Linked DNA regions of Arabidopsis thaliana. The protein of the gene in region 2 interacts with the protein of the main gene of each other region in a biochemical or structural test. Each region holds a gene or a part of one and is shown on either strand. Other genes may lie near its edges. The genes, in order: AHP2, HK3, AHP1 and AHP3.

Region 1 (4,365 bases), on a different chromosome or scaffold from region 2:
TCCATTTCGGAAAAAAAAGGGTCTATTTCCAAACTATTACCAGAGTTCAAAGTATGACTCCGATCTATAATTTTATATATCTCTAAAACTAAAGTTCTATACCTAGTTTTCTCCCTAAAATAAAATTTCTATATACAAATCTCTCCAAATTAATAGTTCAAGATATATCAACCCACAATTATTGGTTTCATTGGTTTATTAACGGGATAAATGTCATTTAAATCATCACTTTACCATTTCCGTTGGTTTTGAAGCATAAAATCTCGATCTAGTGATTTAAATCCTCAATTTTATGTTGACGTTCAATATAATCACGAATTCGTTGACTAAGCCAATTAAGGCACATCGTTAGAAATCTTTCTAATCAAAATTTTTGATTTTTTCTCTCTTTTTCTTCAGAATCTCTCATCTTCTTTGGAATTTCTCTTCTTTTTCGAATTCAAAGTAATATTTCGTCTTAAGGTCGATTGACGACATCGAAAAAAAGAATTTGTGTCTCAATTTGCTTAGTCAACAAGAATTTGTGATTAATTTGAAAGTCAACATAAAATTAAAGATTTAATTCACCAGATCCAAAGTTCATGATTTAAACCAACGAAAATGGTAAAGTGATGATTTAAATGACATTTTCCCCGTTTATTAACTACATGCTCCGTAATCTCGTCGAAAGCGGTTTGTGATTTATCCTGAAAGAATTACCATATTTTCTTAGAATGTCCATTTCGGATATCGAATGGGTAATGGTTTAGATTTAGGTTTTAGGGTTTACGATATTCATATTCTGATAAGGAGACAGGTTGTAAAAATTTGGAAAGTCACTACCAAACTTTTACTAATTTGAGTAAAGGTCAACTTCGAGACAAATAATTCAGATAATTACGAAAACATTATGGGCAAATTTGGGAAACTAAAAGATCTAAACACACAATTTTTAGAAGCACCCACTAGTCAAGACTTACTTAGTAATCACTATATCTTACTCAAACCAAACCTTTCAGAAGCAAACCAATATATATTATCATCACATTCATTAGTCCAATGGTTTCAATTTTCTCGGATGAGATCAAACAATACATACTACTGATTTATAAACAACCATCACTTGTTTTTGTTTCTTTTTGCACATATTTTATTGAGTTTTTGAGCAAACACCAAATCCAAAATAATTTAGAAGAGAAACTAAAGAAAGAAAGTCATCATCTTTTTTCTTCTTATGGACTAGTCTCTTTAGTTAATATCCACTTGAGGAACTATACCACCAGCTTGAATGATCTGTTTCTCAAGCTGAAACAACAACAACAACAACAATGTCAATGATTTGTTCATTACTCATAACCAAAATGATTCATTAAAAGCAGAGCCAAAAACAGAGATGGATTCTATTCACACTCACATTGAACATATCTTGAAGCTTTGTCTTTAACGCCTTGTACTCAATATCCACTTGCTGCAAACATCTCACACACCTGTAACATAACATGAGACTATTATTACTCAACCAATGAGTCCCAAGAGAAAACCATAACTCGCTTACCCTTCGTAGTTCTTAGCTTCACAACATTCCTTGAAGCTAACACACAAAGTTTTGACCCTCTTGGCACCAACACTACATAGAAACAACACAAAGCTTTTCATCAATCAACAACACACAACTTCTGCTACTTATATAAAGCGAGACATGATACATACCTTGAGCTACTACCCTTCAATTGATGCACACTAGCACCTACCTGACTAAAATCTACAGTTCCTGTCGTGTCCCTGAAATAGAAGTAGCCACAATCACACTTTAAGACAACACAAGCAATGATGATCTAGCTGAGAGAATATCAAAAACTTACAAAGCTCTAGCCATGTTACTGATAAGCTTCACACAATCTTCAAAGAAAAGTGAAAGCACTTCAGACACAAAATCAGGACTTCCATCATCTTGTAGCTTTTTCAACTCAGTAAATTGATCATCCAAAAACCCCTTCACATAAAAAAAACACAAACCCATGAATCTAAAGTTCCAACCTTTACACAACTCAAATCCCTAAAAATCATAACTTGTAAAAATCTACATAAAGATTCAATCTTTCTTCACTTTTGTCATGAATCTATGCATATAGGAGTCAATCTAGTGTGTATATGAGCTAAATTAGCTAAGCAAAGAGATGAAATTGGGTTTGAAGAATTGTGGAATTGAAACCTGTTGGTAGAGAGAAATGGTGTAATCACGAAATTGTCTCTGAAGCTGAGCAATGAGAGCGTCCATGAGAAGAGTGAAGCGGAGATTGGGAGAGGATTTTTTTGTTTGGACTTTGATTATTGACTTGGATTTCTGGAAATAGCCAATCCCAAGAAGAAGAAACTTGTGTTTTGTCTTTCTCGCGAATTGTAACGCTGCTACCAGATTTTTTTACTTTAAATGGGAAACAATAATTAAAAGAGAAACACACAAATATTTGGACATTTTTATGTATTTATTTATTTGGGTGAAAAAAATTAAATAGAGAATTTTCATAATTAACATAATTTTAAAGTTTTTTTTGATAAAAATACCATTCAAAAGTTTTGTGAACATAAATAACACTCAAATAATTATTTAATTTTTAATTATTACAACTAACATTTAAAAAAATACAAAAATTCATACCAAAAATTTTCAACAATATTTTTCTACAAAATAATTTCCGTCAAAATTTTTCCACCAAAAATAATTACGCCGCCCACATTTTACCTACAAAAAAAAATTCAGAATTTTTTTTACAAAATATAGGAAAGATTTTAAGCAATTCAGGAAAGGTTTCACGAAATTTATAATTTTTTTCTTTTGTAACCCTTCCTGAATTTTGTAGAATTTTTCCTGAATTCCCGAATTTTTCTTTTTCGAAATTCAGGAAGAATTTTACGAAAATTTTTTTTGTAAAATCTTTCCTGAATTCCGTGAAATCCTCACGAATGTCGTAGTTAGCTTCCTCAAGTTTTTTTACAAGAAAAATTTGACGGAAAATTTTTTTTGCGGGAAAATTTATTACCGAATTGTTTTGGCAGAAAATTTGACGAAAAATTTTTAGCGGAAAATTTTTATTTTTATTTATTTAAATAAAATTAATTATTTATATTTAATATTTAATTAAAATTTTGAAAGCTACTTGTGAAATTTTTCAAAAAGTTGTTATTTTTGGAAGAAAAAATTTTGTTGGTGCTATTTTTGTCAATCCCAATTAAATATTTTTTTTTTGGGAAACATTTGGATTCAATACAAGTTTTTAAGTAAATTATTGGTATTTGGTTAATTAATAAAAACTCTTTTTCTGAAAAATATAATATGAAACACTCATTTAATAATATTAAATCTAATTTAATTTTCTTATATAAAAGAAAAATATCAATCTTATGTTTCGATTTACTTGGAAAAATTAAAGTATTTGACATTATATTTTCTTTTCAAAGACCCAAAAAAAAAAAAAAAAAATTGCAACTTATTATTTCGATATTTTTAAATTACAATTAGACTAACCATTTAAAAGAAAATTTTGTGTATAAGATTTTTAATATTATTCACATATAGTTTTTTATGGTATCAGAGCTATATGTGATATGGTAAACTATTCACATTACAGATTGGAATACTCACCCAAGTTATGTAGCCAACTTCGGTGTGCGTACCTAAAAGGTTAATATGTGGTCACTAGTACTGTAAGGAATGCCTCTACGAATGGATTTATGCATATTTACTTAAACAAAAAATACCAATCGCAATGAGAGACATACAAAAACATAAAGCTTTAAATATGGAATCGTTAGGTGTCACTCAGAAATCAGAATCTCCAACCTGGAAACTTTTACAAGATGCGTTTGGTTCCTAATCCACCAGAGAAGAGATATCATGTGATTCTCTATGAACAATGTGCAAATATTCTTCCGAGTCAACTCTCGCAGACAAAGCTCAATAAGTGGCAAAACTTTCAACGATTAACTACAAAGTACAAACACATTTTACTCCAATATAAACCAATATTTATTTAGTTTCTAAGGAAACAACAAAATTGAAGCGACATTGTCGAATACAAGTCCTCTTCGACCAAAAAAATATGAAAGTAATACCAAAAAAAACAAAACACACACCAGAGAACATAACAAACATATTGTAAGAAATATAACAAGTCTTAAAGACAAACCACAAGAAGAAGAAAAGCACAAATGATGGAGGACGAAAGAGTCAGCAATGAACATCATTAGGCAACGGCAGGCATGTCCTTGAGCCAGTCGTCGAGAGGCTTACCAATGGAGTAAACAATGAAACCAATCTCCCTTAGCTTTTGCAGATTCATAATGTTTCTTCCATCGAACACGAAAGCTGGTTTCTGCATGTTGTCA
Region 2 (8,198 bases):
ATACTGAATCTGTGAATCAGATCGGAGGTACAAAACACAATTCTAGCTAATATAACATGAATACCGATAATAAGAAACAATCGAGATCGCGGGCTATACCATGATTACACCGGAGAAGAAGCGAAGAATTTCTTTTCTCCTTAGTCTTTGCGCTTTCGTTTTTTTTTTTTTTTTGGTTTGACTAAATTTGTCTTGCTGGTTTCAAAATTATTCTGTCACGGACCTTAAAAGGGATCGGGTACTGCAACTCACCGTGAACGTCGTCACAACCATTCTATGATTGGTTATTGAGACGTATGATGTCCACGTGGCGGTCAGTGATTGGATTCCGATTATTGAAATGCTTGAGAAAAGCCCTCTCATGTTGATGTGGTGGACAAAAATGTGACCTAAAGGTCAATCTGAAAATCTCACGGACGTGTTTAAAAGTCAAACAACCACACTCACGTTTTGGGGTCCACGTTTCTATAGTTCTTCTACGTGAATTTAGTTGGACACAAAACACAACTATTTGAAGACATTCGGTTCTGTTTCTTGATTCGGTCCGATCATTTGGTTTTGGTTCCAATATGCATTGTACGTAAAGAAGGGGAAGAGAAAGTAAAAGCTATCTTCAACTTTATATCACAAAGCCAGTGTATGTATAAGTAGTAATGTCCACTTCCCTATCTTGGACCATGATGATAACAAAGAAACTGCAGCACTGTTCTCTAATACAAGAAGAAATATCCTAAATCATGCACACACACTTTTACACACATACTATGATGCTCTCTTCCCTGTCCAAAGCAACTCTGAATATATTCCAGCTGCTACTCTCATCTACATACCACAAGTTTTGTTGTCTCAATCAGACCAGAGAAAAATGTAGAAAAAAAATTTACAGGAGAAAGTACTGGTCCTAAGTTCTTGGCCTGGTCACACCGGCCTTTCTATATACACTCTTTTTGCAATCGTCAATCTGTTTTTCCTATAAACAAGTTCACATAAGGCGTTACTGTCAGTTGAGAAGACATGTTTTTAGGTGAGTAAATATATAGAGAGGAGGAATATAGGCGGCTTACTACTACTTCAAGATGCATAGGAGACACGAGTTTTTGTGTTTCCTTCGCTGTTCTTCTTCCAGCCCCATCTCCTCTTATGATTCTGTATCTGAAGGCGAATTGAAAAAGCGAGAAACTTCCCTGTACAGCTGCTCTGCTTCAAATGGTTTTGATACATACCCATCCATTCCACACTTCAGACATTCCTCATGCGTTGCTTGGATCACATCTGCCGTCATTGCTAATACCGGAAGATGCCAGCTTGTTTTGTTACCGTTCTCTACTATCAAAGCCTCCCCATTCTTTATTCTCTTGTTCATCTCCTCTTCCATATCTCGTATTCTCCTTGTAGCTTCAAATCTGCAGAAAGACAGGGCAGAAAAACATTTCAATTTTCTTATTACATATTTCGAACTTTTCAAAAAAACTAGTATACCAATCAGGCATACCCATCCATTTCTGGCATCTGAATGTCCATGAAGCAAGCATCAAACTCGTGAGGTGGCTTAAGCAATGAGATTGCCTTTATCCCACTCTCAGCGCAGACCACATCAGCTCCGTACTTTTTCAGAGCTCCCGCTGCCACTCTGAGGTTTACGTTGTTATCATCCACGATTAAAATTTTTCTACCAAGGAGAAGATTCCTGAGAATCAAAGCAGGAGGTCCCTTGTGTTGAGGTGGTTCTCTGATTCCAATACCCAATCCCCTCTGCAAAGTTGCTGCTAGCATACTCGCCCTCAATGGTTTCACTATCACTATTGGAGGATCTATACCGGTGCATAAAGCCTCTGATATTGACGATTCTACTGAGTTTGCTAACAAAATCAACTTAGGAGAAAGGAAAAGAGGGTCTTTCTGTAGCTTTTTAATGAAATCATCTGCTTCCCTATTCCATATTTCTTGCTCTATGAGTATCATATTCACAGTGGTAGTACCAATCTTCAGATAATGTAGAGCCTGTTCAACACGTGGAACTACTTCGACTCGAATTCCAAGACGCTGAAAATGGTACCACGAGACTTTTGCCCTTGCAGGCCTATGGTCCACAACCACAGCTTTCATGCCCCGGAATTCCGAGAATATGGGCTGGTTGTTGTCATTCTTTCTTTCAGCTGGTTGCATCCCATTGGAAAATACAGCAGTAAATGTGAATGTGGACCCAACCTTGGGAGTACTCGAGAATCCAATTTCTCCCTTCATCAGTCCAACTAGACATTTGCTTATGCTAAGTCCAATTCCTGTGCCTCCATGCGTCCTGGATATGGATGGTCCGACTTGCATGAAAGGCGTAAAAATACGGGACTGCGCTTCTACAGGGATCCCTACGCCAGTATCCTCAACTGAGACGATTAGGTTTATATCAGGGGGAGATGGTTCAAAGCTCCGATGCCCGTTGGAGCTGAAAGCTTTAAAGTTTTCCCAGCTCCTCTGCCGGTCTGCAACTGGAAGCCCACTCAGTGTACTTTCCGGAGATGATGCTGTCTCTCCATCGATAGATTCAAATAGCTCATCCACCAAATGAACAGTTACAAAGATGTGTCCTTTCTCAGTGAACTGCCAGAATATATATAAATGATCAGCTCCGTTGATCAACTCGGATGCAAGGAATGGTCAGAAAAAAACATAATAAAAAAGTTTACCTTAATGGAATTACCCATAAGATTTGTGAGTATTTGTCGAAACCTCCCAGGATCACCAATTAACATATCTGGAACACGATCAGATATGTATACTGCCAACTGCGTTCATCAGCAACACTCAAAAAATCAGTAAGAAAGACTTGCTATCAGTTACAACCCTTGCTTTGCAGATCATATAGTAAGTTACCTCCACCCCCTTTTGTTGGGACTTGCTAGAGAAGAGTGACAGGACATCATCTAATATTCCTCTCAAATCAAACCGCACCTCCTCAAGTTCAAGCTTTCCAGATTCAATCTTTGCTTGGTCCAAAACCTCATTTATTAGCGAGACTAAAGCTTTTCCACTTGCCTGTGCGGTCCTAACATAATCCTGTTGCGTAACATCTAACTCTGTGTCCATAAGCATATGCAACATTCCTACACCCCAGATCAAAGTCAACATGAGAATATTTGGTTAAGTTTGTTCTTCAGAAAATATTCATGGGCATAGGTGAGAGAAGGAGGCAACATAGTGGCCATTTCGATACTCACCTAGAACACCATTCATTGGAGTTCTGATTTCATGTGAAACAGTGGCAAGGAACTGCATAAAAAAAAGTTAGATTACAACTCTTCTCTCTGTCATAGAAAGTTTAATATGCTGTGGAAATTTATCAACTGAGGATGATGTATTTACCTGTGACTTTGCAACATCTGCTGCTTCAGCCTTTTTCTTGAGCTGCTTCATTTTATCACAATCTTCTTCAACTTTGTGTATTCGACTAACGGTTGCGTGGATTATATGTGCAACAAGTAACGCAATCACAAGGATACCGAATGATGTCACCATTGATAGCACTGGCCATGGTGGTTTCTGCTTAAATCTACAAAGAGGAAGAAGCTCACAACAAAATGTTAGCACCTGGATTCTTGCAAACAAGAAGAAATTACAGACATATGTATGTGCCAACTGCAAGTACCTGCAACGCATCTCATGCTTTCTCAATGGATCGCCAAAGATTAGTGGACTAACACGTTCCAACCCATCAGCCGACACATTTGTACCATACATGCTAATCGGTTGAGAGTGATTGGTGATATCGTACACATTGACAAGAATCGTTTGCTTGCTAGCCAGCTGTTGAAGCAAGTTTTCTACCAGGGACTCAATGTCAAACACTCCCCCGAGATACCTTCAGGGGCATCAAAAGAGATGAATGAGCAAAAATAATGTTGTAAAACTTATGCGTTATTATTTATTTAGACGCCTATGCTACACACCCGTTAGTAGCCTCAATTCTCTCTTTTGGCGTTGCATTGGAGGGGAGATCTCTCTTGTACACTGCAAATGTCAGGATCACCCCAAGTCTATTTGTCTTTATCAATGGGAAAGGAGCTGTCAAAACCCCTTTACCTGAACTCCTGGCCCGCAAAACGTTTTCACGATCTTCCTATCAAGAGGAATTGAGTGAGAATAAGTATCAGTTAAAACAGTGCTCTAAACTTTAAATAAAATGATCAAAACAACTTAATCGGTAAGCCGAGATTGAAATATGAACTAGCCATGTCGGCAGGATTCGCCCGGTAGTGAGTGTAGACCATGATAGTAAATTACATAAAAACAGTAAAATTAGAACCAGTAAAGAAGCTTACTTTCCCAGACAGCATATCGAGAGAAACAACGTGAGAAACAGTGTCCTGAGCAAAGATGACTGGAGCGTACTCTTCTTGGACAGGGGATGGTTCCAAAGCTTCCAGGTCATAGTCATCCTTGTGAACTGGGTTTTGTTCAAGAGAATACATCTTCCTAATAGTCCAACCTTGTTGCCTCTCGAACTCTTCCCTCTCTGAATGGAGCACCCTCATAGCATAAGCTACCCCGCTAGTAAGAGGCCTCTCAAAGGAAGTTCTATCAGTGTACTCTGAGAATGTTCTCTACACAAAGCTTCTTAATGTTAGTTACTGTTCACTAATACTCAAGAAGATAGGAATCAAGCTACCAAGTGTTAGCTAAATACAAAGACTGTAAGCAACAATCAGCAAAATTGTAAATCCTAACTGAAATTCGAGAGCAAGTTGAATGAAAAAAGCTACCATCATCCAAGGACCGTTCATATACTACACCGTAGGAACAACTTATGTACTACAAGCAAGACTAGATCTCAGGCATCAATCCAAACAGATTAGAAGACAAGAAGATGCGGAATCGAGAATACCTGATCGATAGCAGAAGGAATCTTGCCATGGTGGAAGGTTGAGATCAAGATAGACATGGCTTGAACATGATTCATGCTAACGTTGAACTGATCCTGCAGCATACGAGCTCTCTCATCACACATACTAGCTAGCGTCTCTTTCCTCTTCTCCATAGCTTGCGAGCTAAAGTACCAAAACGTCCAAATAGAGACCAAGACCCAGAAGACAACCCAAACCACCACAAGCTTCCTCCACCACGCCTTGTTGAATTTAACAGAGCCAAGAAACTGATAAGAGAAACTCGGGATCTTGAGTCCGCTGCTAGAGATCTTATTCCAGAACCACATCTTGTTCTTCTTCTTCAACGTAGTCATCTTAGTCTTCTCAAGATCACCGACAGAGCCAACTAAAAGACCAGACTTGTCCTCGATCCCATTATCAACGAACCAAGAAACAAACCAGCAGCATAGCATCCAGAAGAGATGCCCAATCTTGACACCAAACCCTAGCACATGGAACAGACTCATCCACCACTTGAATACACGATCAACCCCCAAGAAACAGAGTGATTGCAACCAGCTCAATTCAACTCAGCAAGAAGCTCTAACAACCAAACAGAAACCATGTACAAAAAGGGACGAATCAGAGAATCAAAAAGGAAGAATTTTTTGGGGTTGGGTATTTAATAATTAATCCTTGTAGGCTTCCCACAAACGAGAAGAGAAAAGGAAAGCTAAGACAGAGGAACGTGTCAGATTAGACAACCCAAAGGCTGAAATTGAGAGATCAAAGTGGTTACTTAATCAAAGATGACGAAAGATAAGAGAGAAGAAAACAAAAACAAAATAAACAAAGGTAGAAACTTTGAACAGGAGCTTAAAGTTTCCAAAGCGAGATTCCTCGAAATCTAAAACAGGAAACTAAAATTCTACAAGGGGAGTACGAAAATTCGCTAGAGCTTGCTCCAATACAACAGAAATCTTTGAGTGTGATGATGATGAGTGAAAGAGAGCGAATAAAGCAACGAGAAGAAGAAGAGGAGCTGGAGACTTGAGTGAATTATCAAATGGAGAAACTTAAGAAAGAGGAGCAGAAGTAGTAGTAGAAGAAGAAGAAGAAGAAGAATCTATCATCGGAAAAGATGAGAAGAATATGGTGGAAGACAAATGTCTGCTTCCTTCTCTCTCTCTCTCTCTCTATTATCTGATTATCTTTCTTTTCTTTTTTCATTCATACTTCCATTAATATATATTTTAATCTTAAGCTGCTTATGTACTCCTAAAAAAAATACAGATAAAATTCAAACACAAAAAATTATATCCTGCTGATGATGATGTTAAAACTCGATTCTAGAAGAAAAATGTTCATAGTTGAGATTCTTTGAGTTTGTTTAGTAAGATCTGATTTTTATAAACAAGTTTAGAACCTCATTAATACTACTATTAATAACACCAAATGATTGGTAAAATAACTTACCTCTATTTATATATAAAAGAAAAAACACTAAACGGCGCAGGCAAAAGAAAAAAAAAGGCTAAAGGGACCCACAAGAAGGGAACAAAGGCATATATGGTCTCAGTTCTCACCCTCCAATAATAAAAATAAAAGGCGTGTTACAATTTATTATTATGAAAATGGTTTTTTTGCAGTAGTTGGTAAAGTGACCAAAATTGTTTGGCCATTTTATCAAAACTAAACTACACAAAAGAATTATACAAGTTAGTTTAACCAAAGCTTCCTTCTTTAGTCAAATAACTCTATATATATAACTCGGTTTGTTTTTTCAATTTCAACATACACTTTCCTTTAAAGAAAAAACAAATGGCTAAAACAAAATACAGAATCATTTATTTTCTTGGTACGTCATCTGTTTTACACGTGTCGATATCTTAAAGCATAATCATTTCATTTTGTTTGCAATTGCTTACATAAATTTATTTTTTTAAAATGGGATTGCTTGAAAGTTGAAACACACCAATCAACGGTTGTTCTCTCACCCATGAATCATGATCCTTTTTCTTCCACCTCGATCTTCCAGATTCAACACATAGACATAGGATTTAACTCATTTTGTTTTAGATCTTTTAGAATTTAAAGGATTACTTTACAAGTTATATTATAAGAGACTTTCTTTTTATTTCACAAAGATAAATGTTTTAAATTTTCTATCCAAAATTAATATTTCATTTCATAATTTTCCATGTTAGTTAAATGCTTTAAAATATTATCTTAGTTATATCAGAATTTGATTAAAAATCTTTAAATGGTGTAGGAATCAAATGAAGTTAGTCAATTTACCAATTGAGCTATACTGTTGATTGTCCCATATATTAACGGGCCCAACTTGAAAAATATAAGGCCCATTTAAAGTATCGTCAAACACTCATTTCAGTATCTCTAGTCTTGGTCCATTCGTATAATTTTTCAGTAAATTATCTAACCCTCTCGATCCTCTCTCGCCTGTTGAAAAAGCACGACGCAAGAGCTAAGGATCAAAAAGGAAGACGAAGAAAGAGATGGATCCAGACGCTGTTGCAAAGGCTTTCGTTGAGCACTACTACTCCACCTTCGATGCAAATCGTCCAGGGTTGGTTTCTCTATACCAAGAAGGATCCATGTTGACCTTCGAAGGCCAGAAGATCCAGGGCTCTCAGAACATCGTCGCTAAGCTCACCGGCCTCCCTTTCCAGCAGTGTAAGCACAACATCACCACCGTCGATTGTCAGCCTTCTGGTCCCGCCGGTGGTATGCTCGTCTTTGTCTCCGGCAATCTTCAGCTCGCTGGTGAACAACACGCTCTCAAGTTCAGCCAGGTTTTTTTTTGCCTTATCTCTTTCCCTTGGGTTTAGATCACTTCGATTTTTAGTGTTTCCTTTGTATTCCTCGCTGTTGATCATGTACGATAGGGTTTTTATCCTTACTGCTCTGTAGATTGATGTGTGTATTAGGTCACTAAAAGCTTCAATGATCTGGAATTGTCTCGAAATTTTAGACCCTCCCTGATGCATTTAGTGATAGATCTGTGATAAGGTTGGAGATAAAAGAGGTTTCCCCCAAATGATTGCGTAGATCAGTAGATGTAATCTTGTGTCATTTAGATTTTGTCTTGTGGAGCTTCTATCTCCTTGCACTTCGTGAATGTAGTATTGGGAAACTGCTTTGCCATGATTCTGCTAGTTTTTTTCAACTATGCTCATATGTGATCTTGTTGTAGTTGTAGATATGCCACCTTCTTGATTAAATTGTCTCAACTCTAAATAGTTTGAGATGCTTGCAGTGTTTGTATCATCTGCCGTAAGACATTGTTTTCTCTTTTTAGTGTTGAACGCTCTTTACTAG
Region 3 (4,744 bases), on a different chromosome or scaffold from region 2:
GATCCGGTCCGAGATGTTGGATTTAACACCGTAGAAGAATTGGTAATAACATTGACTAAGTCAAACTATTTTAAATTTTGTCTATATGTCTACACACGAAGACTCAATAATTTCTAAAACGGTTGATTATAATTTCTTCGATAAGTTATTGAGTTTTGGAACTAAATGCGAAGAAATTTCTAAGGCGTCGAATAAAGCACACGTTTGGTGATGAATCTTGACTGAATCTAAAGAGAAGTTTCTCTTATGGATCCGTAAAAATTTTAAGACTATACAACGACTTTGAATGTCTTTTGAATGTGTTGTTTTTGTGTTTATATGTTAAAATGCGGTTAGTTTTCTTTTATCAAACATAATTTGTAAACGTGATAACACAAAATTGATAGAGAATATGGACTTGTGTTTTAAAATCTACGTTTACATGCATTTGTATTTTACATGATCTAAAAGTGTGTTTATCGTATGTGAAACCATTACGTCAACATGGATTGTTTTTACGGTATTGTGTTACAAATGTAAATACACCATTTTAATATCTAAACTCACTTTTTTCTTCTTTTTGTTTGCGGTTGAACCAACCAAGCCCATACACGAGATAAAATTGACAACTAATTTATTTTACTTGTGTAAATTGAACTTAACCTGAAATTGGCAGTGAACCAACAAATCGACTAACTCGTTCTGCATGTTTACCTTTTATTTGTTTTTAGTAAATAATATCGTATTTGGCTGCGTCTACAGCGACTTGTATTCTAGCTTTAAACCTTTTTAAAAACTTGATATGGCTATTGGCTATAAGGATTTTCTTATAATAAATTGCTTGGAGATATGGGTGAGTGCAAACTCTTTCTTGACTTTTTACGTATAAATTTGTTAAAAACTAAGGAAGCACAGTTTAACTTTTATACGGAGATAATATAATGTAAGATATCAAAATTCATAATAAGATTTGAAAGGTCCATAATTAGTGATGGAACCTTCTTACGATGGACCCATTATCAAGTAAGAACCACTAATAATCTTTGGTTAGTTAGTATATATAATACGTTTTATGCCATTCGTTAAACGCATCCTACGTTCTTGCATGTCCCATGTCCATTCATCATGTGAGACGTGTCAAAGCGTTGATGTTTACCCAAATTTGCAGAAATTAATACAGTGAAACTAATTTACTATTTTTATTTTGGCTTGACGTGTTGAAATTGTTATTGAAAATACGAATTGTCTAAGGAAAAAATTGTCATTTTACTGTGCATGAGGAAATAGATAAGAATGGTGTGTATGAGTATGATTGGGAAAGTATTTGGAGTGACGAAAATACCAGGGATATGCAAATGAAGAAATAGTGTGGTTGAAAAAGATGAGACTGGTGTGCTGATCGTTGTAGTTGAAAATGTTACGTAAAAATATATTGTATGTAGTACTCTATGAAAGATTGAAAGGATATGAGCTATTGCATATATATTGTTAGGTTGTTTTGAAATATTGTTAGTTGAAAGAAATTTATAGAGCAAGTGACAAACGAGTAAATAGAAAAGCTTTGAGAAATCACGAAAAAACATTTGAATTGTGATAAGTGGTTGATTATAATGAAAAATATTGGTATAACACAAAATATGATAAATCCTAGTTTAATAAGAATTCCACCAAATGATTGGACGAGATATATGACTAAAGAAATTATAAGCTGCATTTAGTTTTGGTTTTGAACAACATTACAAAGTGTTAGGCGGCATTTGAGTTCTCAAAGTCACAATTTCCTTGATAAACCCATTACGTTACGATATTTGTGATACATCAATATAAAATAAACTAACCAATCAATGTATTATTATAATAAAAGAATTGCTAGTTGGACAAAAACAATGAGGATCAAATCAAAATTATATTACAAATAAAGTTTCCCTAGAGATGCTATTTGAAAGATACATTGAATGCGAGCTGTGCATATTAGTATATGCTTTTCATCAGTAGTACAGTAATTTAAATATTCGAACCAATAAAATGTTTTAAAATCTTAAGAAAAAAAAAGACAAATCAAGAAGTATCAAATGCTCTTCTTATGTCTTTATCACATTTGCAAAAAAAACGAGGAAAAAAAGGCGCGAATGGTTAGACAGTTGACAGCACGACCAACTTCCATTCTTTAAGAGTTTCTTTCTTTTTGGATTCTTTTCTCACATCCAAACCAAAATTGTAATAATAAAATACAAACTATTTAAATTTAAAAAATAGGGTTTTTTGATACGGAGGATTTTGTTCTCATCTTTTAAGTACTGAGGATTTTGTTGGACATTTTCTTACCTCCATTATTGGCAGAGAGAAACAAAGAAATAAAGAACAAAAGCAAATAACAGAGAATATGGATTTGGTTCAGAAGCAGAAGAGTTTGCAAGATTACACCAAATCACTCTTCTTAGAAGTAAGTTTTTCACATTTGAAAAGATCAAATAATCAGAAAACTTGTTTTAACGTTCACAACTTTTTCTTTCTGGTTTTAGGACTTGTAGTAAAAATGGTTTTAGGACTTATAGTAAAAATGTGTTAGGCTTTTGTAGTTTCTTTGGTAAGATAATCATGAGTTTAGGTTATGTAAAATTAGTTTCTGATTATGGAAAGTCTTTTGTTTTGGGTAAATACAAAAAAGGGGATTTTGGACAGCCAGTTCTTGCAGCTGCAACAACTACAAGATGAAAGCAATCCAGATTTTGTTTCACAAGTTGTCACACTCTTCTTCCAAGACTCTGATAGGATTCTCAATGATCTCTCACTTTCCCTGTAATCTTCTTTACACATTCTCTCTTTAATCTTTTTTTTTTTGTTCTTTTCCAAAACTTGTGTTTCTCACTGTTTTTTTATGCTTCGGGCAGAGATCAACAAGTTGTAGACTTTAAAAAAGTTGATCCCCATGTTCATCAACTCAAAGGTAGCAGCTCCAGGTAACAACAAAAACAAAACTGGCTATTTCTGATTTTAATCCAATGATAATGACATTTTCTTGATCTTGAAATGTGTAACAATATATATTGCCAAAAAATAACAGTATAGGAGCACAGAGAGTTAAGAATGCTTGTGTTGTCTTCCGCAGCTTCTGCGAGCAGCAAAATGTCGAAGCGTGAGTTTAATCGATATGTTCGTTGGTCCATTCGTTATTTCTTTGTTTTAAGATCTGATTAGGAAAATACATCGTTGAAAAATTTCAGATGTCATAGATGTTTGCAACAAGTGAAGCAAGAGTATTATCTTGTGAAAAACAGATTAGAGACTCTGTTCAAGGTAAAAAGTCAAAGAGACTTTTTTTTTTTTTATAAAACCACCCACATAACTCTTATCTAGTTATACAATATTTTGATCAACATTTGAAACTTATCTGATTCAATTTTGGTTTTGATGATCGAATCTATGCAGCTGGAGCAACAGATTGTAGCTTCTGGTGGAATGATCCCGGCCGTCGAACTCGGATTTTGAGTGAATTTCATAAACATCTCTGTCCATTGTTGTTTCATTTTGGACTCTCTCTTCTTCCTCTCTTTATGTGACTATCAAAAAAAGGTTCTTATGTGAACTTCTTTCTTTGTGCCATTGGAAGAGTGAGACATGCTAAAACGTTTCTTAATCCACATCTAAATCCCACATATGTAAAATAAGATCTCAAGCAAACATATAGTCATGAGTCATGACTACAATTATATAGAGTTTGATCAAGATAATGTACGCATCAAGGTAATGTGATCCGGACAACTTGGTTAGGTATTAGGTTGTTGTTTTACTGTAACTGTTAGAAGTAGTTAGAAGTCTTGTAGTCCTTGACCAAAGAACACAGATGGGCCATATGAATTTTAGTAGCCCAAGATGATAACAAAGGGCCCGTACTAAACATCCATGATGATCTTGGAAATCTTTTTTTTATTACGATTGCACTTCGACGAATCTCTAAAGATTTTCAGACATTTATACAATGCAATTAAGAAAAAAATAAAGTTATACTATGTGAGTGCACGTTAAATAATGTAGCTAAAAATAAAATAATGACAAAATTCTTAATTACTTACAGATCCGTGACCTGTCGTCGACTATATATGGCTCCAATTTATAACCTCATGTTCGATTTCTAGACTTCTAGTTTACCACTTATAACTTTGTATTGCTCTATACTCGTATTAATTAGTGCTCCATCTTTTTTATTTGAACTTTTTTGGGTAAAGAATGAGCGTTCCCTTCATCGTTTGTTCATAACTTTACTAGTTCCTTTAATTGTACCTTCTGTTTAATTTTGTTTTCAAGTGACCTTTTTGTCTTTTCAATAATAATTAAGATTTCCAGTTCGTAATTTCGTATGTATAATGAACCATACCATTAATTATGCAATATGACAAAAATATGATGTTTATATGTTCTTCCACCTTGTTATTATCGATTACAAATTTAAATAAGGATCATAGGGTAAATAACACTTTTTTTTTTTTGGTTATAATCAATATCTTATTCCTATTTTATTGTTTCAAACATGCATAGTATCCAAAGGGAAGCATGTTTTGGTGAAAATATATGCATAGAAGAAGAAGACTAATCAGTAATCAAGACAAGAGATAGGTTGAATAATTCCATTAAGTTTTCTCCTATCTGTAGTCTAAATCACTAGTTACAACTTTCAACACACATGAAACACATTATACATGCATCATTATTCATTAATGTGTTAGGTTACGCTACGTATATTTTGTGTAGATTTGAAAGTACAGAT
Region 4 (4,754 bases), on a different chromosome or scaffold from region 2:
CCTATAATACCCACTAATCATCGTGTTCCACGAAATCACATCACGGTTCTTCATCACATCAAACACATCCCTCGCCATTTCAACCTTCCCAAAGTTCATATACATCGCTAACAACGCGTTCTGCACATACTTATCCCTACCAAACCAACTCCTCAAGATCCTCCCATGAACAACCAACCCCAATTTCATCGATTTCAATTCTCCAGCAGCTTTAGCAACAAAAGGGTATGTATAACCATCCGGAACACACTTAACCCCCTCACTAACCATCCTAATAAACACGCTAATCGCATCGTGATACAATCCTTCACGCACGTACATTCTAATAACAATGTTATAAGAAAGCAAAGAGCTTTGAGGCATTTCCTCGAACAGCTTCCGTGCATAAGTGATGTGACCACATAACGCATAAGTTACGGAGAGAGTCGAGAGAATGTGGCCGGAAACTCGACCGCCGGTGATGACGTGGCAGTGTAAAGCTTTGGTTTTTGAAATTGATTGAGTAGCTGCAAAGTGATTCAAGAGAGATTGGTATTGCTTGACGCTACTAAGTGCGTTGTTGGCTCTGCGCAAAACTTCACTCATTTAAAGAAAAAAACGACTGTTGAAAAATCTATTGGGTCGCAATTTTTTAAAAGCAACGACATATCTAACCAAACTGCGTGACGTTTGTATTTTACAGTGAGAAATGCTTGACGTTTTCTTATTTTACAGTAAGAACTGCGTGACGTTTGTATTTGACAGTGAGACTGCGTTGACGTTTTGTATTTCACAGTGAGAACTGCGTGACGTTTTCTTTCTTAACATTAGCTGATGGGTTTAACTTTAGGTTTCAGCTTTCACAGGGGACACTTGTGAGTGTTTGTTCTTGGTTTGTTCCTTTTGCCAATGTCTTCGTGAAGCTTTTTGCTTTCAGAGTCTATTCTTTTGCGCGTTGTCTTGTGTAGCTCTCCTTGAATTTTCTGCTTCTTATGATGCTTCTGTGTCTGGAAATATTCCTGTTTTTGAATACATAACTCACTCTTGTTCATATGGTCTTATGAGATGCAAATTCATACTATTCAGATAAGATCAGTACCAAGATTCAAGAGATGATGATACAAAAGATACATAGTATTGATCTATGAACAACAATCACCTCTCTTTTCCACACATTCTCAAGAGTTTTTTTTCTTTTTCGAAGCAACAAATTCGAGTAGTACTCGTCTGAAGAATGCAACTGGATGATCATCATCTTGCTGTTCTGTTGTCGATAGGTCTATTGTTTATATATCCACTTGAGGGATTCTACCACCAGCTTGGACAATCTGTTGCTCAAGCTGCAACAAAACAATGCAAGACTTATTCACGAAATTCGAAAGCAAAAAACCGACACAATTCACGTAGCTTTTCACTCACATTGAACAGATCTTGAAGCTTTGCTTTTAATGTCTTGTACTCAATATCCACTTGCTGCAAACATCTCACACACCTATAACAGAGATTGTTTCCCAAATTAGTTTCAACAATCAAATGAACATAGCAGAAATTTGAGATTCTCTTAAAGAAGAACCGGAAAACAAAAGCTTACCCTTCATAGTTCTGAGAGTCGCAACACTCCTTGAGGGTAACACAAAGACCTTTGACTCTCTTGGCACCAACACTTCATAGAACAACAAGAAAGGAGCTCTTCACTGAGACTAGATCCGAGATTAGACTAAAGGACCGAGACTATACAGATCAAATGTGACATACCTTGAGCTACTACCTTTGAGTTGATGAACACTAGAACCTACCAGTTTGAAATCTACATTTCCTGTCTGATCTCTGAGTATACATATGAACCAATCATTAAACCATATCTGCTAGCTTTTGATGATTAAACTCGTAAAAGAAAAGTAAACTTACAAAGCTCTAGCCATATTACTGATAAGCTTCTCACAGTCTTCAAAGAAGAGAGTAACAACCTCAGCCACAAAATCAGGACTACATTCATCTTGCAGCTTTTTCAATTCTGTGAATTGATCATCCAAAAACCCCTTTACAAAACCAACACAAAGAATCTCAGAAACCCATTTCACAAAATTCCCAATTCCAAATACAAGCTCCAAGTACCCTAAAAACAGTAGAGAGTAGTCATCCCTAAAAAGAAGACAACTTTGAAAAAGAGACAATAACCCATTTCACAGACCCTAAACCCAATTCCCAAAATCCCCAATTGCCATATACAAGCTTCAATAAGAACCCTAAAAACGTAACCACAAATTCAAAGTTTGCTTCACCAGAAAAGTAATCACTTTGAAAGGAGACGACTTTGAAAATGGAGACAATAACCCATTTCACAATCAGTAAACCTAACTCTTAAATCCCCAGTTTCCAATTTAAAAGCTTCAATAAGAACCCTAAAGACTGTGGAGAGCCATCTCTAAAAAGGAGACTTTAAAACTCAACCACAATTTCTAAGTTCTCTTCACAAGAAAGTTAATCACTTTTATCCTGAATCTCTAAGGAGAGATGCTAAAATTTACCTGGTGATAGAGACTAATGGTGAAATCACAAAATCGTCTCTGTAACTGAGCAATGAGTGTGTCCATGGCTCTCTCTACTCGTCGTGAAGGCAAAAGCAGAGAGAAGAAGAAGATGTAAAGTTTGTTTGAAATTGCAATCCCAATAAAGAGATTCTTACAGATCATCAAATTTGGACAGAAATAAATAAAGAAATAGTCACAAAGCTTTTCCATAAAGGGCAGAGAAAAAGAATTAGAATATGATTAGTTGTCAAAAAGACAACTTTTACAAGTGAGAAACATTGATTTAGGCCATAAAAAATGGAATCTCTAATTCATGATTGATACATTCATTCATTCACTCAAAGTTTTTAGCATTTTCCAATGTTAGGTATGTTTCTGTTATGTCAATCCACCAACACTAAGAATCTCTCACGCTGGAAGATTCTCTATAGACAAGTTCATTTGAAGCATTACCGTGTGGACAAGACTGAAGAACATTGGTTCTATTCTTTTGACATGAGCTTCAGAGAATCATATACTCTCATCAACTTGACCTCATGAAAACAACTTATAGTGGCAGATTTTGCTGTTTATGACAAACTAAAGGGTTTTTTGCACTAATATTAAGTTGTTTGGTAACATACTTATTAATATTATATCGTAGAGGCATTTAGAGTTCTTTCTTACCAAAATACTCTACCTTCTTTTTTTTTGCTATAACAGATTTTGATATTGGACTTGTTTTTTCGGCTGTTTAGATCTTTTTTTGTTTGAGTGAAATGTTTTATTTTTCAATTTGTTGGAAACAACTAATATGATCGCGAGTGTCATTTTGAGAGTTGCGGAGGCAGCGAGCTGGCTATATAGTAAGGTCAAAGGAGGTAAATCTGGCTTTATTCGGTAACACATCTAAGTTTAGACATCGAAAGCAAGAACTTTTGTTTAGAGGCATTCACATTTAAACTAGGAAACTTTGGGTGAGAAGTCCACACGTCTTGGCTATATATGAATTGCTAAGCTGAAGCAATATGAGGTGTTACATACCTCCTGCAAAATTAAGGTCTATATAATATAACTAGAGCCACCCCAAGCAAAATTAAACAATGGTTGTTAGCGCCAACAAATTTGTAAGGTTTATTTAGAAAATATTAGCATATATAAATGGTATAACTTATGGTGAAAGATTCATATATATGCTTAGGATAGTATATAATGATTAAGAAAACAAAGTGTAAAATTATAAGTGTTAAATCTTGGTGACCTGAGTTGAGTTGAGAATTGAGTTGTGAGATTAATACCAAAGAAAAAAGTGACCTGACTTGGATCTTAAAATCTTTCTCTTTTTTTGATGAGACGGATCTTAACATCTCTCTCGTTTATTGGTAAGGATCTTAACTACTCTCTTTAATTTAGTAAATATTAATTTAAAGAGATCTAAATGTCCCAAAATCTTAATAAAATTATAAAAAACTCCAAAAAAGAACATTCGGTCCGTGTGTAGCTATGTTCGGATTAAACGTTTTTAATAGGTAGGTATTGGATCACCCCATGCTTAGCAAATTTTTAAACACTAGATATATATATACAAATTTACTATCACAACACAAAAGATAAAGATCCACCTTTGGGAGGGCAGACCATGCACCACACCATTAATTAGAGATCTTGCATGCATATTGATCTCATAGATGCAACATTTGTGGAGAATGAAAATACCATCCCAAAAATTGAATATCATGGAGGAAAATAATTGCAACTTGTCCGTCAAGGATAAATGCCTCGTGTAGAAATCATCATAACACCACGTACAACTCCATGATATTGCTCTAGAACATATCTATTGTTCGTAAAGAGAGAGAATTAAGAATGTTCAACACTTAACATCTAGAAGAAATATATTCCATTAATTAATTTATAGGAATTTAATTTAGGTAAAGCAAGTCCATATCAAAACGCAAAAGAATTTAGAAAGTCCATCATTTGACAAACTAAAGAACAAACTATTGATGAAAAGTACTTAGCGAAGATAGCGGCAAATAGGGTGGTCTCCAAACAAAGTTGCATTCCTTTGAGAGCCAGGCTCGAACCTTAACATGGCTTCATCACACGCATAGTTCATCTTTCCACTTGTCCCATATCTACAATCCGGAAGAAGCAATCGCGATCGGAACCTTATTTCACCTTTTTCCTTGATATCCTTCATAATATCTTTTATAATCACACCCTCCATGTCTCCTTCAGAAGCAATCGATGAAACCCTAATCA

The links.
Region 1: the proteins of HK3 (region 2) and AHP2 form a complex in vitro, tested with the Arabidopsis thaliana proteins (one study listed by BioGRID).
Region 3: the proteins of HK3 (region 2) and AHP1 form a complex in vitro, tested with the Arabidopsis thaliana proteins (one study listed by BioGRID).
Region 4: the proteins of HK3 (region 2) and AHP3 form a complex in vitro, tested with the Arabidopsis thaliana proteins (one study listed by BioGRID).

What each region holds. Positions count from the first base shown.
Region 1 is NC_003074.8:11,263,152-11,267,516, forward strand, and holds AHP2 (histidine-containing phosphotransmitter 2), read right to left. Parts: upstream 2,412-4,365; 5' UTR 2,258-2,411; coding exon 2,192-2,257; intron 1,973-2,191; coding exon 1,842-1,972; intron 1,762-1,841; coding exon 1,690-1,761; intron 1,607-1,689; coding exon 1,535-1,606; coding exon of another isoform or gene 1,531-1,534; exon of another isoform or gene 1,480-1,530; intron 1,467-1,479; coding exon 1,394-1,466; intron 1,285-1,393; coding exon 1,228-1,284; 3' UTR 975-1,227; downstream 1-974. Other genes in the region: UGD2 (UDP-glucose 6-dehydrogenase family protein), read right to left, coding at 4,224-4,365. UniProt on the Arabidopsis thaliana protein: Functions as a two-component phosphorelay mediators between cytokinin sensor histidine kinases and response regulator (B-type ARRs). Plays an important role in propagating cytokinin signal transduction through the multistep His-to-Asp phosphorelay.
Region 2 is NC_003070.9:9,484,968-9,493,165, reverse strand, and holds HK3 (histidine kinase 3), read right to left. Parts: upstream 6,278-8,198; 5' UTR 5,387-6,277; coding exon 4,880-5,386; intron 4,599-4,879; coding exon 4,317-4,598; intron 4,115-4,316; coding exon 3,945-4,114; intron 3,857-3,944; coding exon 3,644-3,856; intron 3,548-3,643; coding exon 3,361-3,547; intron 3,268-3,360; coding exon 3,216-3,267; intron 3,102-3,215; coding exon 2,872-3,101; intron 2,784-2,871; coding exon 2,685-2,783; intron 2,599-2,684; coding exon 1,493-2,598; intron 1,404-1,492; coding exon 1,139-1,403; 3' UTR 1,065-1,138; intron 971-1,064; 3' UTR 534-970; downstream 1-533. Other genes in the region: AT1G27330 (Ribosome associated membrane protein RAMP4), read right to left, coding at 100-102; NTF2A (nuclear transport factor 2A), read left to right, coding at 7,376-7,672. UniProt on the Arabidopsis thaliana protein: Cytokinins (CK) receptor related to bacterial two-component regulators. Functions as a histidine kinase and transmits the stress signal to a downstream MAPK cascade.
Region 3 is NC_003074.8:7,577,156-7,581,899, reverse strand, and holds AHP1 (histidine-containing phosphotransmitter 1), read left to right. Parts: upstream 1-2,110; 5' UTR 2,111-2,362; coding exon 2,363-2,422; intron 2,423-2,647; coding exon 2,648-2,778; intron 2,779-2,870; coding exon 2,871-2,939; intron 2,940-3,043; coding exon 3,044-3,115; intron 3,116-3,203; coding exon 3,204-3,276; intron 3,277-3,408; coding exon 3,409-3,468; 3' UTR 3,469-4,188; downstream 4,189-4,744. UniProt on the Arabidopsis thaliana protein: Functions as a two-component phosphorelay mediators between cytokinin sensor histidine kinases and response regulator (B-type ARRs). Plays an important role in propagating cytokinin signal transduction through the multistep His-to-Asp phosphorelay.
Region 4 is NC_003076.8:15,746,760-15,751,513, reverse strand, and holds AHP3 (histidine-containing phosphotransmitter 3), read right to left. Parts: upstream 2,784-4,754; 5' UTR 2,721-2,783; coding exon 2,508-2,720; intron 2,019-2,507; coding exon 1,888-2,018; intron 1,807-1,887; coding exon 1,735-1,806; intron 1,643-1,734; coding exon 1,571-1,642; intron 1,472-1,570; coding exon 1,399-1,471; intron 1,320-1,398; coding exon 1,266-1,319; 3' UTR 623-1,265; downstream 1-622. Other genes in the region: AT5G39350 (Tetratricopeptide repeat (TPR)-like superfamily protein), read right to left, coding at 1-585; AT5G39330 (transmembrane protein, putative (DUF1163)), read right to left, coding at 4,507-4,754.